Caenorhabditis elegans: one gene and its partners. The protein of the gene in region 2 interacts with the protein of the main gene of each other region in a pairwise test. Each region holds a gene or a part of one and is shown on either strand. Other genes may lie near its edges.

Evidence for each region.
Region 1: the proteins of ccm-3 (region 2) and C06E7.4 interact in a two-hybrid assay, tested with the Caenorhabditis elegans proteins (one large-scale study listed by BioGRID).
Region 3: the proteins of ccm-3 (region 2) and flp-9 interact in a two-hybrid assay, tested with the Caenorhabditis elegans proteins (one large-scale study listed by BioGRID).

The regions. Positions count from the first base shown.
Region 1 is NC_003282.8:5,856,353-5,862,183, forward strand, and holds the start of C06E7.4 (SH2 domain-containing protein), read right to left. Parts: upstream 3,625-5,831; coding exon 3,131-3,624; intron 2,675-3,130; exon of another isoform or gene 2,654-2,674; intron 2,265-2,653; exon of another isoform or gene 1,980-2,264; intron 1,662-1,979; exon of another isoform or gene 1,638-1,661; intron 1,525-1,637; exon of another isoform or gene 1,504-1,524; intron 1,006-1,503; exon of another isoform or gene 984-1,005; intron 1-983.
Region 2 is NC_003280.10:10,604,634-10,609,436, forward strand, and holds ccm-3 (Programmed cell death protein 10 homolog), read right to left. Parts: upstream 2,643-4,803; 5' UTR 2,633-2,642; coding exon 2,559-2,632; intron 2,503-2,558; coding exon 2,460-2,502; intron 2,378-2,459; coding exon 2,178-2,377; intron 2,123-2,177; coding exon 1,873-2,122; intron 1,573-1,872; coding exon 1,492-1,572; 3' UTR 1,084-1,491; downstream 1-1,083. Other genes in the region: taf-13 (Transcription initiation factor TFIID subunit 13), read right to left, coding at 466-699, 838-969. UniProt on the Caenorhabditis elegans protein: Involved in excretory canal elongation during postembryonic development. Plays a role in promoting Golgi stability, ER integrity and vesicle transport probably by regulating the activation of Rho GTPase cdc-42. Involved in fertility.
Region 3 is NC_003282.8:12,753,712-12,760,106, forward strand, and holds flp-9 (KPSFVRF-amide 2), read right to left. Parts: upstream 3,860-6,395; 5' UTR 3,792-3,859; coding exon 3,729-3,791; intron 2,260-3,728; coding exon 2,152-2,259; intron 1,241-2,151; coding exon 1,103-1,240; 3' UTR 847-1,102; downstream 1-846. UniProt on the Caenorhabditis elegans protein: FMRFamides and FMRFamide-like peptides are neuropeptides. KPSFVRF-amide: Has no effect on somatic body wall muscle, inhibits contraction of vaginal vera muscle, and inhibits the activity of the dissected pharyngeal myogenic muscle system.

The DNA of each region.
Region 1 (5,831 bases), on a different chromosome or scaffold from region 2:
TTTCCAAAAAAAATTAATACACAGAATAATCCTGGAAGACTTAATCAGAAAATATGCCCTTGTTTGTCTCCAATAATTTTTGCATATTTTATCCATAACCAGTCTTTTCCCTAACTATATCCTTCCATTTTAACAATTTAATATAATAGTTTCCCCCTCTTCCTGTCGCTACATTTTGATGCCATAGGTGCGCAGGCGCGCATCAAAATGATTCAAATAAATGATGAAAACAAGCTTCTCACTCTTCACAGCTGCACTTAACAGACCGGTATATATGTGTGTGTGTGTGTGTGTGTGAAGTGTGAGTGGTCATGCTCGCGGAGCTACAGACCCAGAAGCTTATTTGATCACGCCGCGCGCGACGAGCCGCTTCATTATCATTGATAATGATTATCACAAGGTATGTGTGATTGCCCTATATCAATTGGAAATTGTACACCCGGAAGAAGAATAAAGTGCAAATATAAATCTGGCAAACAATTACTGATATCTTGTTTGAAGATATCTTCATTTTTTTGAGAAACTGTAAATAAATTTTTTGTAAAAATCTATTAAAAACATCAAATTCACCCAAAAACACCCCGTTCCTTCTCCAAGAAACTCATAAAGGTGGCGGTAAATGGTTCAGACATACTACACACACACACATACAAACAGTAATGAGAGTCCTTCATCTTATTCTTCTTCCGAGCAAACAATGTTCCGCTTTGACACCTTCTACACATTTGCATTTACGTGTATGTATTTGTTGACCGAAACAATCTCAAATGAACGGAGATCGCAGGTCAAATGTGTCCAAATAGGTGCAAATGTGTTCGGTTTTTGTGTACAATGCAACGGAGAGAGTGTAGGGCTTTCATGTAGGCGCCAAAACTGCCTGCCTGACATGAAGGCGACCTACGTTTTTTTTTGTTGATAATACACGTGTGGCACCAGGCACCAGGCAGGACTTGAAACAACTCATGTTTACCATGGAAGTCCTGTTGAATAGATGAAAGCTATCAATCGAGATCTTGTAAAAAATTCGAAACTTATAGAAACGTTGAAACATTAAACGAAAATTATTTAAAAACAATTTTTAAAAAAGTTTTTTCTCAATTTATAACGTATCCACTTATTCTAGCAGTAATTTTTCACTAACTCTACCAAATTTTCAATAAGTTTCATTAGAATTCAGTTTCGATTACAAAAAAGTACTTGGTTAAGCTGAAAATGGCAGCAAGTTCAGTTGAAAATTAACAAAAAGTTTTTAAAAGCGTTAAAAAAAACTCGAAAACATAATTTTCAGGATTTTTTGAGCACATTTTCAAATTAGGGTTCACTAAAATGAACGTTATTTTAAGATTAACGAAATAATTTTTATTTAGTCTTTGAAGAAAAAAATATAGAATTTTATTTTTTTCGAAAAATAGATGCTTGCAATTCGGTGGTGCCAATTTACAAGAAATTGTCAGTTTTAAATTCAGGAAAGTTGTCAATATATTCCTGTTTCAGAAAGCGTTGCAAGATTTGATCGGTTATCTAGTAGATAATTTTTTTCAAGACAACCTTTGTTTATTCTGTGAAACATTAAATTAAAAAAAATGAATATCGTGTTTCAGCTTCCCATTATAAATGTTACTTTCTTGTATCGAGAATAACAACAAGGAATTTACAACAGGTAACCAAAATCAAAACACATTCACACATCAACACATCTCGACCTCCCATAATACATCTTAATTACGTTGTCCACAAGAATAGAAACCGCTCACATATAGGGGAAAAGTTGGTATTCATTCCCCGTTTCTACCTTCAAAAATTGACCTTCCTCGTCTTATGTCCAACCTTGACGTGTCTCAATATTTGGTGGAAGTGAGCCACCTGTCATTTCTCTCCCAATACATATCCGTACAGTAAATAGAACCTCTCGTTTTGGAGTGATAAGAAGCTAATAGAAATGATAAAAGGTGATTAGCTATACCCTTACATGATATCAAAATGATATCAAAAGAGAAAAAGAGAACGATCATTTGTTTAAAGAACACTACACCAAATCATCATATTTTATGGTGTCATAACTGAAGAGAAAGTGATGGAAGAAAGGTATATGGGGCCGTGGATAACAAGTTTTTCCCCTTTTTTTGTTTCACCGAATGTTGTGGTGTATGTTTCATAATAACCACAGAAGAAGAGGCTTCTTTTTTGTTTTCTGGGCAAACTGGAAAGTAGAAAAGTTTCCCCCTTAAGAAGAAGAGAAGAGACATTCATCTTTCTCAAAGGCTGGAAAAAAGAAGGTTGAAGAAGTTAGAGGTATAATAATCCTATGAAGAGAAGAAGGTCAAGTTGACAAAAAAGAGTACTCAATTGAACGAACGGTGAAACGGGAGAAAAGTGCGTTAATTATTTGAATATATTGTCTAGGGAAAGTTTTTGGGAGAGTTATATTTTAACCTGGGCTTGTGCGGCAAAATTTATTATTTCAAAATGATAATCCAAACTTTTTAGTAGAAAAAAGTTGTGGAGCAACTCGAAAAAAACTCAAAAAATTTCTGAAAGTTGTTCTTTAAATTTTTGGGAAAACATCAAACTTCAAGCGGTTTTTCAGATTTTTTTCCATTTTGAACAAGAATAAATATTACTTTCAAGTTTATCAAAATGTTTCATGTATTTCTTCATTCATTTATCATTCCCAATAGCTTTTAAGAGTTGCCTGGTTTGCAAAAAGAAAACAGGGAAACAGTAATAAATTTACGAATCTGTTCCAGTCTAAAAATGAGAACTTTATAGTCTATTGCACAATACTTCTACATAAGAAATCTTTGCAGAAATTTTTTAATTTCAGTCTAAAAAAGTATCGACCCATAAATCGATATGAGTTACAGTAACTCGTTGTCAGCGTGACAAAAATTATCATTATTAGACGAAATATGGGAAAATATTTGATCGATTCAAAAATAAGATTTATTTCTGTCAAAAAACCCGGAAAGTGCCAGAAAGGTTTTTCAGATTTTTTTCTAACTTTTAAACAAAAATAAATACTATTTTCCAACTCGTCAATTTTTTCTTGATCCTTTTATAGCAGCAAAGTTAACTGTGTAGATGATTTGATATTTACAAGAGAAAATATTGAAACAGTAACCAAACTAACCTGTGTAAATCATCATAGCTTATAGCTCTGGAGTACATTGGATGCATTGGTGGTGGTGGTGGAACAGGCATCTGAATCGGAATTCCTCTTGCTCCCAATTTCTTCATTAATTTCTGATGCTTCTTCTCCATCTTCTCCAATTTCTTCAATGTCTTTGCATCAGGAGGTATCAATATCCTAGGTGGAGGCATCATTGCTGGTTCGAAATCAATTTGATTCAATGACATTCTTGATCCTCTCATTTGTCGTAACCTTTCAGAATCAGGGCCTCCCATGTATCCAGAATCTGCATTCAGAGAGATCATTGATCGTCTCATTTGAGCTTTTGATTGTGGATGATGTGGATTGTGATGCATATAAGGTTCAGCGAATGCTCCTGGAGCAATTGGTCTTTGTTTTGCTTCTGGATATGGAGAAGTAGTTGTTGAATAGGATGTCCTTTGATGCATCCAATGCGGAGGAGGCGGGTAGTGTGACGAGCTTCGGTTTCCCATCTAAAAATTATTTTTTGAATTGAAAAAAATAGATTCGAGAGGAAAATTAGAATCGTCGAAAATATTGTCCAGAAAAAATTAATTTTTTTAAAAAATTTACTGTTTCATGATAACTTTGAAATAAATACAACACGTAGGAACTGTTAGATGTGCTAAATAGAATGAAATAACAAAAAACGTAACTTTCAAAAAAAAAACAATTAATATTTGGAAGCAGAAACTATTCTCACAACATTGATGAAACAGAAAAAAAAAGTTTGAATTTTTAAAAAGTTATGACTTACCAAAAAAATACAAACATAAATTTCAAATTATGTAACATGAAACAACTACTGATTCCGAAAAAAAAATCCATTTTTTGATGAAATTTAAAAAATTTAAGAAAGCTTTTTGATTAATCTTCGGTATGTACCTTTACAAATAAATCAGAGGTGATAAAACAGTCCTATGAAAACACAACTATTGTTGATATTACCCAAGGGATAAATGCATAGAGTGAAACGGCACAAACAAACTGAGAAAATACGGGTCTTAAACTATTTTTTACAGAGCTGAAGCTATTGAGGTGTAGAAACATGAGAAGTCTAGAAATCTAGGATACATGGTGGCAGTGAAAATAGAACGCGAAAAGTTAAATAATTAAAATACCAAAAAGTTTGGGGATAGTGTTCCAGAATTTGGAATCTTTTTCATCTTTATAAATAACAAAAGAAAAAAAAGAAGGCGATTTCATTGGTAAAAAAGGAGGTATGAATGGTGAGGCGTCTGTCTCTTCTCAGGGCGGCCCTCTCTTCGTCTCCATCCACCTCTCTTCAATCCGTCCAGAGGCAAAAAGTGTCTGTGCTCTCTCGTAAATCATCACTATTTCATACATTTCGCCCTCCTTTCCGCACAGTCATTTACCTCTTCTTCGTTACACGCGCGCGCCCCCCGCATGGCGGAGACTCCGCCCTCTCCGATTTTATTCCGCACAGGAAACTGAGAGAATAAGCAGGCAGAGGACCCCTGGAAAAGAAAAAGAGAGAAAGAGGTATGAATGCGATGGAATACGCAATTTACCGGTACACCGGCATTGTATGGAAGAGGTGCGCGTGAAATAAGGGGGTCGGGATAGAAGAACAGGTGTTGACCACCTGGAATATGGTGGAAGCTTGATTATTGCCATTTTTGGGGTGAAGCTCTTTTTTGTGGAGGAAGCTCACGAGGAGCAATTCGAGGTGGAAATAAGAGTTAATTACATTATTTTTCTACTGTTTCATCAAGTTTTTATAATCAAGTTTATCATAATGTCTGTAGTGTATAACTCTTGAATCCCATTTGTAACGGAATATAAAATATCGTATTTTCTTAATGACATGCAATGTTTAATTCCGCATTTTTTTGCGACGCAACATTATTAGAAACTGTAAGACTATTAGAGAACATAATTCTAATTTTTGGTTGCTTTTTTTTGAGTGGAAGGAAATTGCCGAAATAAATTAGCAATTCCAGGATAAAAAACCAAAGTAGATTTTTGAGTTCCAAGAAAAAAATAATAAAAAACTTATGAGCAAAGATGCATTATTACATTAAGTATACATTTGATACTCCACTTTTAATATTGTCGTGAAACAGTATTTTCAGTTCTACTATTAGGGGTGTCAATAAGTTCCGGGTCAAAATTCATAACTTTTTTCGTGGCAAATCAATTTTTCTGAAAATATGGGAATTTATGTTATCAAACATGGTCTTCCATTTAACGGTGCTTTCAAAACATTTTGACCACTCCATGTATCCCAGCTCGGAGCCACTTTTTTTCAGGCGTCTGCCCGATTTCGCTTCTTTTTAACTTTCATTTGAGACTTATGTGCGGATTTCGATTGATTAAGTATACATTGTAAAAATACAATAATAATTTGAGAAAAAACTCGTTCAAAAAATTTTTTTTTGTGGATCGTCGAAAAAATCTTCGAAAAAATTTTTGTCGAAAATTCTTGATTTTTTGTACAGGAATGATGCAACCAAATCTAAAAAATTTTTCAACATACTAAACATTTGAATTTAATGTTTAGATTTGGAGAAATTCTCAAAAATTTCAAAAAACGCACTCAAAGATAATATTTTCCATTACCGCTTGTGTGTGAAGCATTAAATTGAAATGTTTTGTATGTTGAAAAATTACTCAAACTTGGTTGTATCATTTCTGTACAAAAAATCAAGAATTTTCG
Region 2 (4,803 bases):
CTCCTTCTGCTATTGTTGATTCCATGTTATTTGCAACACAGCAAACTAGAAGATGAAGAAGAACTAGAGTGTGTTGAAATTTACAATTCAAACAAAAGTAAGGCAGGGAAATTAATTTGGAAATAAAAGAAGTTTGTGGCGCAACTTTTCAGGAGCAATGTTCTGCTCCTCGTGAGCCCCATATCCAGAATGCAAATTATCTTAGCCATGAGGAATTTGATCGTTAAATTGTTCAGGAAAAAATATTATCTAGTACTTTTATACAATTTGCATGGCAGGATGTCTACGTTGTCGCAGGTGCATTTGTGTTTTTATTTTTCCTGACAAGTACGCATTTAAAATTGCCTGAAAAGTTGTCTTCTGTCGTTTTACTTGGATTTCTGTAAATACTATACGTTCAAAGAAAAACATTCATGATGGGGGTTTCAATAATATAAAATTCAAATAACCGAGATCAATACAAATTTACAATTGTGGTTTCATATCTTCGAACTGCTTTCTTGCCTTCTTCAACTCTTCCGACATTGACAACAGATCCTTGACTCTCGAGAACTTCTTCGGATCACGACGAATCAGATAGTGAATGTCCTCAAGTGCCATTTTATCCGGTTTTCCAACTTTCATCGCCAGTTGGCATAACTCTTTGATGTAGTTTAGGACAATGGCCTCAAGAGTGTCCAGGGTCTTGTCGTATGGCTCCTGAAACATTTATTTATAAACAATTCAGGAAATTATCAATCGGAATCTTAGAAAAACCGCTCATTTAATTTCTTTTTAATTTGTTATAGAAATGCAAATAAATTTTGATTCAAAAAGTTGCACAGCCCTGTTACCAACCTTATCATCTCCAAAGCCATAGACCATTGATCTCAAATCTCGTCTCAGCACGTGCTTCTTATCCTCCGGATTTACCACCTTCTCCTTGTCATCTTCGGCATCCGAGCCGAACAGATCCTCTTCGTCATCCATTTTTTAAATTCTGAAATTAATTTAAAATTGGTCTGAAATTTTTTAAAGTGAAGTTAATTAGATATATAATAAGTTTTCGACAACAAGAATTGCAATACAGTCAATTAAAATATTAAAAATTTCTGAATAATTTATCACGTTATTTGGAGAAGAAACCGACTTATGGAAAAAAATCTAGTACATCAGTGGGTGAAAAAACGAGGAAAAATCAAAGAAAGGCACATGAAAAAGAAAGGAAGAATGATAATTGAGCTACTTATTACAATATTTTTGAAGTGAAAAAAATCCGAAAAACCATATAAAGCATAATACGTTAATCATTTTCCTAAAATTTCAGTCAATAAACAGAAAATTGGGAAAGGAAAAATCATAGAAAGAAGAAAGTGTGCAGATCCGATGTATAAAGTGATGAGTGTGTGGATGAGAACAAGAAATTAAGTGAACAAAAAATGAAAGTAAAACACATGCAAAAGGAAAGAGCCGTCTAGTAGATCACAGTTATAAGCCGCCATATGGGTGAGCTTATCCTCGGCGAAGTTTTTCGTTGATTGTGCGGACTATCATTGTCGTTTGGAAAACCAGTTGGTTGGCGGACACGGATACCTGCAAACATTGAATTTAGGCTCAGAATTTGTTTTAAAAAAATGGATTTTAATATTATTCAAGAATTTAGTTTGATTTTCCCAAGATTTGGGGAAAATTTACAGGTTTTTATTTTAAAAAAAAGTCCAAATTTGCCGAATATCGATGTGAAAAAATTAAAAAAAAATCTCCCTGATTTTATATTTCAGTGCGAATTTTTTCCCAGAAAAACCGGGGCTTTTGAATTTTTCACATAGATATTCGGAGTCAAGGACAAATTTCGACGCATTTAAGTAAAAAAGCACATTTTTTCCCACGAACCTGATTTGCATTCTGATCTTTAAAATACGTCTTCAAAGTGTTACTGAATCTTTTCGAGTAGTGCACAAATTCCCGTTTACGTTTCTCAACGGCCGGCTGCGCAGTGAGTGGAACAATTCTGTAGACGGCGTTTATTGCCTCAAGAAGTTTCTTGATTGATGATGCGATGAGCTTGATGGTCTCCAGGAAGGCGTGACGATCCGACATTTCTTCGGGAACCCGGGACAGAACACGACGAAGCTCGATTGCTCTGTAATTTTTTTCGTACGCCAGGAATTTTGAAAAAAATTATCTAATTTGATTACCGTTTCGTGAGCTCTTTATAATCAGCATTCTGCTCATATCCACTGACAATCAAATCATTTGTCGGCGAGGTGTCATGCATTCTCAGATAGGATTCCTGCAGATTAACGCTCAATTCCGAGTCATCCAGCAAAACTTTTGTGAAATCATAGAGAAACGACGGAGAAGCTTGTTCACAAGTGGTCAGTGCAGTGTGCAGTTTCTGAATAATTCTTTGTTAATTTATTTTTTTTCGTTTAACAGTATAAAATTCATAGAAAATATTCTTATATAGAATAGCTTACGTTTAGGGCGAGAGAAGCTCTTGGATCATCACGATGTTGCTGTCTAAAATATATTTTTTAAATTATTATGTTTAAAAACTGATATTTCTTGAAACCCACTTAATTTTTTCCATCACAGGACTGTACAGGCATTGATATGTCATCGCTCCAAGATATCCACCCTCTTCGTTCATTGTGAAACTGCTGAAATGAAAATCATGATTTTTGAGTGAATTTTAAGAGGAGAAAGCTGTGTTAAAAAAGGAAAAACCCGCATACGATCGATTTGCATCGCAAATACATACAGAAATCAAAAGCGGAGAGAGACGCAGATAATAAGGCGAAAAGTTGGAGAAATACAGAGGAAAACGAGGAGAGTAAATATAGGAAGAAAGTGAACGGTCGGAAAGGAATGTGAAAGCAGAATTCGAATTCCTTGGAGAAACTTATGAGTCATTATAATAATAATAATAACGGTTTTTATCGGTTTCGCATGATAACCCACCCAGAAATCGATGCAATTGTTTTTTAATAGTTGAATTAATATTGTGAAATATAAGAAATAACATTAAATATGTTTTTTACTTGAAAAAATAATGAAAATCGCAAAAAATTGATAAAATCTGTTAAAAAAAGAACGAAAAAAAAAAAATTTAAATGAAATGTTCGCATTGGAGCGCACTTGCTGGCACCAGAGATGCTGCAGATTTCGAGATGAACAATTCTGGAGAACAAAGTTCTTGGAAAAATTTTAATATTCGACGTTAAAAATATATTTTATTAGTGCTTAATTTTTTAAATAATCAATTCAATCGCGAAAATGTGAACAAAATGTTTTTACTCAACTCAGACCTCGGTGGAGGTAAAATTTTGCAAATTTTGAAATAATGAATCTTTCAATTTTTAGCCTAGTGCACTAGCTAGTGTTATTTAGACATATAAATGCAGATTTTGCAAATAATAATCTCTGAGAATAAACAACGATTTCCAATATTCAATCAGATTTTCCTGAAAATATATTTTTTTAATTATAATTGTCCAGATCTGGCCAGATAAATTTCATGATTTTTCCCAAAGAATACGGTAGCAGGTCTCGTCAAATTTTCGCACACAAAAAGGTGTGTGCCTTTAAAGAGTACTGTAACTTCAAATTTTTGTTTCAGTGGATGTATTAAAGTTTTTTTTGTAAACTTTTCGAAAAATAAAAAGTTCTTCATCGAAAAATTAGTGGAAAATTATTTTTTCGTAAATCAATAAAAAGAAATTACAGTAATCTCTAAAGGCACACTCACTTTTCTATTTAATGATGGTGTTTCGCGACGAGACCCGGTGCCGTATTTCTGGGGACTCTATTATATTTTCAGCCCACCAGTGAAGGATATCTGTCAATAAAATTATGATATAGTAAAGAATCTCCGGAAAACAAGAAGTCACAAGTCCAATTCCCATCAATCTGCGTCTCAAAATCTTCCGTAATATCTTTTTTCTCCCGGCTGTCCGTCTCATCTTCCGTGTCATTCCTGCCGATCAATAGGAGATCCACTATTCACACCTTTGTTACGCTTCAGAGTATATTAACAATAGAGTCGAGAAAAAAACATTGAAATTTGTTTCATTTTATTGTCTTTTCTTTTCTAAATTGCTCTCAAAAAATGTGCTGATTTCATTTTTCTAGATGTTTCCTTTGGTCAAAGGTTTCGAGAAAAAACCAGTTCCCATTCCAAAAAATAGGTAATAAAATTGCGAACATGTACATTCAAGGTATAGACTCCCAATCAGGAAATCTCATTTCCTGTGATAATTCTGTTCTCTGACCGAGTTTCATCTTTTTTTTTTGTATTTGGTATTAATATATGGTCAAAGGCATAGCCGATCATAGATCAAACATTTTCAAAACAAAATAAAACTTGTTGTTTGATGATTCAATTTTTTCAAATTTTCGAATAATTGTTTAGCCTGTTTCCAAAAAATGTTAACTTTGAACTCGCGCTCATTCTTATTTGACGACATTTACGCCAAAAACACGGTACCCGGTCTCGACACGACAAATTTTTGTTTCCTGCTAAATTCGACAAGGTGTGCTCCTTTAAAGAGTACTGTAATAAAATCGTTGTAGAATTTTCACCGATTTTACATATGTTTGAGATTCCTATAAATAAAAATATTTTATGCACAAAATGTAAGAGCAATTCCGTTACAACTTTAAAGGCGAACACTTTTTCGAGTTTAACAAAAATGTCGCATTGAGACCGGGTACCGTATTTTAGTCGCAGGAATTGCAAAATTTGGAGTCCAGGCAATAAAAAGGGTTCAAGAATTTTTTGATCTTGTTTCTTGGGGAAATTTTTATAAGAAATTCACAGCA
Region 3 (6,395 bases), on a different chromosome or scaffold from region 2:
TGTGCTTTTATCCTTTTTTGAACGACTTTTGCTCTTTCTAAGCTTTATGTTTTGTTCAAATAATCCATCTTATAGTAATCTTTTTCAAAAAAGCTAATTTAGATTTTTAACGATACTTGAGATAAAGATGTTCTGGTTTAAATGACACCAAAACACCCACACATGTATCAAGTATTGTTTTTCCCAAGTATTCAGAAAGAAGTCATCCTTAAAGTGTGTAAAACTTTAAAGTTTGCTGATCATTAAATTCCCGCGCGAAGGAATATTGTTAGGTATGAAACACGAAAGGGGATATTCAAAAAATAATAATTATCTAGAAATACAATTTTTCCTAAAATGTTCAAATAATTACAGGCATCACTGAAAGATTGAATCTATTTTTATTTGAGCACAAAACTGAGAACCCAATGCAACGATAGACACAAAAATTTGGAAAAAAAAGTGTGTGCCTTTAAGGAGTACAGTAATTTCTTTTGCAGTAAAAAAACTTTTTTTTAGACATTTCGCAATGCAATTTTCTAGTTCACCATGCTTTAATTAGGTTTCCAGACAAAAATGTATAAATGGAAACTACTGTACACCTTACATTTAAAGGCTCAAACTCTATTTCGCTTACCAATGAGCGATGCGTAAGGGGCGTTGTCTCTGTCGCTGATTGGTCGACGCTTTCTGTTCTGCGCGGGAGTTCAGATTTTTCGATTTTTTTTTCTCAAATTTTCAGTTTTTTTCAGTGAAAAGCAAACAACTCAATCTTTATGTTTTGTTGAGATAATCCTTTATAATAGCAATTCCTTTTGAAATAAAAAAATGATAAAAATTTCCTGATTCAAATGGCACCAACGCACACACATGTAACACATTTTATTGCACATATCAACATGAAAACTTGATTTTTTTTTGATTTTCACAAATTCTCAGGTTACCATAAAAGTTGAAGAGGGGTAAGGGGATGGGAGAGAAGAATGAATGAACGGTATGAGGGCCAGAAATCTAGATGGGAACAATCGAGAAGAAAACGTAGTGAGCAGCTGTGTGTGAGAGAGAGAGAGAGATCAAAAATAGATCCAAGATGTTTCCAGAATAATCAACAAGACATATCTATCTACTTTCTTCCAAATCGAACAAATGATGGCTTTCTCTTGTCCATACGCATTTCCTCGTCATCAATTACCAGCGGGTATCCTGAACGTTTTCCGAAACGGACGAACGACGGCTTCCGCTTTTCCATTCGGACTTGCTCCTGCAAATTAGAAAATTCTTGAATTGTTTAGATAAATACAAGAAGTTATAGGTTTGGTGGCAGAATTAATATTTTCTCATTATCAGTTGTGGGGAATTCCGCAATTTTTAGACGAGACGTTTTTATTTATTTTTGAAAGTCACGAGATGACCATTTTTAGTTTTTCTTACGATTTTTCAAAAATTATAATTTTAAAACTTCCTTTAACTGAAAAAGCAAATAATATATAACATTTTCAACGGCATTTCTGATCTAGAAACGTTAAAAAATGTAAAGTAAGGCTCTCGAAAATAGTGTGTAAAAAATAATGTTTTAAAGGCGCATACACTTTTCGTAGCCTCCATTAAAACATTTTCTGTCGCGTTGAGGCCGTTACCATATTCTTATTAAATTAAATCATAATTTTTCTAATTCTATAACATGAACTTTATAATTATTCAGTGCTTCTAGTCACAATTTAACATTTCAGAGAAGCGTGTATTTTTGGAATTTATCAATTTTTGAGGAGCTCCTTTTCTTATTTTATTCTTAGATGTTTTTCTCCCCAATTCCGAAAATGTGCAAAAAGTTATTCAGTCGAAAATTTTCCTCAAAATGTGTTTTTTAGAAGATAAATTTCATTATTGAAACTTCAATATATCCCGCTAAAATTTAAAAAAAACGAAACGCCGACCAATCAGCGACGTGCAAAAGGCGTGACCAAGGTCGCTGATTGGTCGGCGCATTTATTGAGCGCTAATTTGAATTTTTTGTAAGTAAAATGGAATTGGCCATAGTTTTAGAATAGGACATTACATTTGAGTTTGTCTTTAATTTTCAAAAAATTATTTCAAGAATATAGAATATATTAATGTCAATGCGACCGTGGCCGCCAATATCTCAAGGTCCCAGTATGACGTCATCATTCTCACCTGATTAATACCGATTGCGTGCTGAGTGGCGAGTTGTGCAATTTGATCACAGTACTTTCGATTCGATTCCTTTCCACAGAACTCGGCGAGTGCATCCAAATCTGGCTCCTGAAAAATAGAGCTCAAGTATGTATGTAATTTAACATATTCCCACGTATAATCAACGCCGCAAATCTACACCCGCCGCACCAATAAAAACTAATGAGATTTTTGTCGTCGAGCAGTAGCAGGAGCAACCCGTGAGCCCTGCGATCTCCCAATAGGGTATGTCTAGGTTTTCTTACGGATTTTTGTTTTGTTTATTCAATCAATTTTAAACTTCTCGTGACTTTGAATGATGTCATCATCACTTTAATCAACTTTTTGTACGAAAAAGAGATAGAAGAATCTTAAAATTTGATTTTGAACGGTAGACTGAGCACAAGAGCATCACTCTGAAGCATCGAAAGCAGCAAAATAAAAGGAGAAGGGTGACGACGAAGAATGTAATCCTTGTGCTCATTAGTGGCTCACTTTAACATTTTCAAAGTATTACATAAAACGGATGTTGCTACTGGATGAAAATAGGTGTTGAAACTATAAGGAAGTTATAGAATATGTAAACTTTAAGTTGGTTAATGTAAAGGCGCGGATATCCACGTAGGTCAAAAAACTTCGAAAAAATTCGGATAGCCTGGTGGCATTTTCTGAACAAATCTCAAATTTCTAAGTTCGGCCGACAACTGCCCGGTTCCGCGCCGCACTATTTTTAACCTCTTAAAACACGCATGCTTTATAATTTGGCGCGAAACCCGGTAGCTGTCGGACCATGCTCATCACACCTAAATTCTGCGATAGGGGTAATAACTTTTAAAAATGGTAAAAATGGGCTTCCAAAAATTAATCATCGCGACAAATTATTAGGAAAGTGGATGACGAGACGAAGCCCTAGAATTTCGAATTTCGTTTTTTTTTCAGCTATTTCGTTCCAGACTCAACGTTTCTTTGAAGAGAAATAAACTAATCTTGTGTTTGAAAACAAATATTCTATTCGGGCTATTAAAAAAATAAAATTCACAGAATTCAGCTTAAATTGAGGTATGTCTTTTGCCCCAAAAATGTTAGCCATTTTTAAAATTTTAATGACCATGTTGGTCCAAATTAGGCTTACTTATTAGACTTTCTATGTTAGAAATACTGTTTTTTCAATGTAAGCCTAAAAATGCAAACCATTTCCACGGGGGCAGGTATATTACACAAGCACCTTCCAAAATTTAGGTAATTAACAGACATGCAGGCACGCCTACATTTGAAAAATAGGCAGGATTCGCCTACTGTTAAAAATTCAAAGATACACTTGAAAGTCACTTTGAAATTTATTTACGAAAACACATTTTATAGGTGGCGCCTTTTCTATTATTTTGCACACGATTGGCTTCATTTCGAGCCTGGTGGCACAGGGGGGAGGGGCACAAATAATATTTTGTTCGTTTTTCGAAAAAGTTGAACCTTCCGCTTCAAGAAATTCAGCACACAAATTTTAGAAGCGGAAAGAAATATGATCTTAGATTATTTATATTTTTCCGATCTTAACTCACCTCATAGGCATTTGCCATTGCTGCAATACAGGCGACAAGGAATAGTGCATAAAATTGATTCATTTTTTTCTTCTTTGAAACAAAAAATGTTTCACCCTTCTTCAGACGATGCTGCTGGGTTTTTCTCTGGAAACGAGACCAGAAAAAGAAGTGAGCCTTGATGGGGGCGGAGTCCTGAGAGAGAATGGAGAGCACACGTATGGGCGGAGTCTGAGCACACACATACACACACATTTAAGAATGACGTGTGAGCACTTTGAAGACTCGAAGTGATAATGATGGGTTCGGTAGGTTGGGGGCACTTTACTATGTAGATTTATTTGAAAATCAGGAAGTATTCAGGGAAATATGGTGGTACTGTAGGAAGTATTTAGGATCTACTTTATATTGAGATTTTGAAAAAATCGTAGTTCAAATTGTAGGAGGAATAGGAAAGAAAAATGGAATTTACCGGTATAAAAAAAACTTTTTAAAAATCCAAAAAATAACATAATTCTTCAATTATTTTAAAAATCAGATTTAAATAATCCTCTAAATAGTCATAATCTTTTTGGACAATACACCTTTATGGGTTTTGTTATTGAAAACATTTTAAAGATTGGTCGTCACAAAGCCGTCTTTCAAGTCCTTTTTAACTGGCCGCCTCGCGCCTAACCGTCTTATATTTTTTAGGTGCTAAATATGTCGCGGAAAATTTTTCATGATTTGATAAATGGAAAAATCGGAAAGATATTTGGAAAATGTACAGTGAAATTATAATTTTTATGGAAAACAGGAGAAAAAACTCGAAACCGAAATAAAGAAAAATTGATTAACGCAAATTTTTCCATGTGCCGAGAATTCGAAAAAATAGCAAAAAACTCATTCTAAAATTCACATGCAAATGGGTAAAAAACGCGAGAAAAATATAATTCTTCTAAAAAAATCTTTAAATGTAGCCAAAAATTTATGGTATTTCTCGACAAAATGAAATTGCCTATGATGACTTTTTAATTTAGTTTTTTCTCTCTCAGAAGGACATTTTTTGAGCAGATCACCCACACATCTTGCCAATTTGCTCAAATTTCTGCAATATTTTTGACAAGATCAATTTTCATGTGTTTTGTTTCAATGAGTTCTCGTTTTCCCCATTCTAATAAAACAAATCAGAAATATATAATTGAAAGTCATTAAAGCCCACGTAAATAGGTATATACTCACTGAAATAGAAATATTTGGTAATACTGCTCTAGGAACTCGTAAAGAGATTTTTTTTTGTGATTTCAGAAACTAATCTAAATCGCATACGATATTTTAGGAAACCTGGGATTCTAAGAAGGTATTCAAAATATAAAATCTTACAGTATTTCTTGAAAACTGACAAAATTGCAAAGGCAAGAGCAAGCCTATATGTCGACTAAAAGACAGGCAGGCGGGTCCACTTGAAAGAAAACCGACAAACTTTATTGTTCCTAATGTTAAAAAATCTAATTTCGTAACAAAAAAGTTAACTTTTTAGTTTTAGATATAAAAAAATGTGCCCAATGCCAAATACCAATATTTTCTCTATTATCAGCCTTAACAAAATAAAGTTATTTTGATCATTTTTTGAAAATAATAGCTATTCAGATTCAAAACCAAAAATATCTTCCCGTTACACCTCCCTCTTTGAATCTCTTTATTTGGGTATTCAAAAAAGAAACCTGAAAGTTTATTCAATTTGAATATGAAGTTCTACTCGTTCTGAGTATTCATTGAATTCAGGTGGGAGTTCTGGTGGGTGATTGAAATGAAGTGCACGATGATTGGAATACAATTCAAATTTTTTATGTGAACTAGAATTTATTAAAGAGTAACAGATGTTCTCAAATTTTGACCACAAAAAAATAGTGTATTCCGAAAAATTTCCAGCGGGAGCCCTAAAATATGAATCGAAAAAAAAAACGAAAAAATTTGGCTAAGCCAATAAGCGGCGGGACTTCTTAGGAATTTTTTTCGCGGGAGACGGATAGATAAAGCTTCAACAATTTTTTAAAAACATAAAGTTTTTCGATGTTGGGATTTTGTTATAAAATTTCAGAAAAAGATCCGATAAAAGTTCAGCCGTGAAATCAGAATTGAAATTTCATTTTAGTTTTTTACCAGCCTCGCCTCACTCTAGGCCGGAAATTACCTTTAAAAAAATTCAATTAAATAATAAAAACACAAAATATACTGATGGTTTAAAATATGTGACAATACATGACACACAAGATTACCGTTAAAAGGGCGAGTGAGAGACACCCTCAAAACGCTTCAGCCGTTAACATGCCGATTAGGAGGTTTGCAAATCAAAAAATATTCCCATTTTTGCAAGAAAGAACAATGTTGCATGTCCTTGTCGAAAATACGAGAAAATGATGTTTCTTGTTCTCCTCCTCCTCCAGCTGCCCCTACTCTTCAGTAACAAACCCATAAAGCCAATGACAAAGTGTCTTCAATTTTTCATTTTGAACTCCTCTTCTATACTCCGTTTTCGAGTAGAGAGCGGTTGGTACTAATTTTGGAAACACGGAACATTTTTTCCTTCCAAATATAAAAGTGATGTGCGTGTCCGTCCGGAAGAGAGATATTGTTATTCCGCACCGGAGAAATCTTTATGAATAGGGGGAAAAGAGTTAAAGGCGTGTTCCATTTTTTAAGAATTTG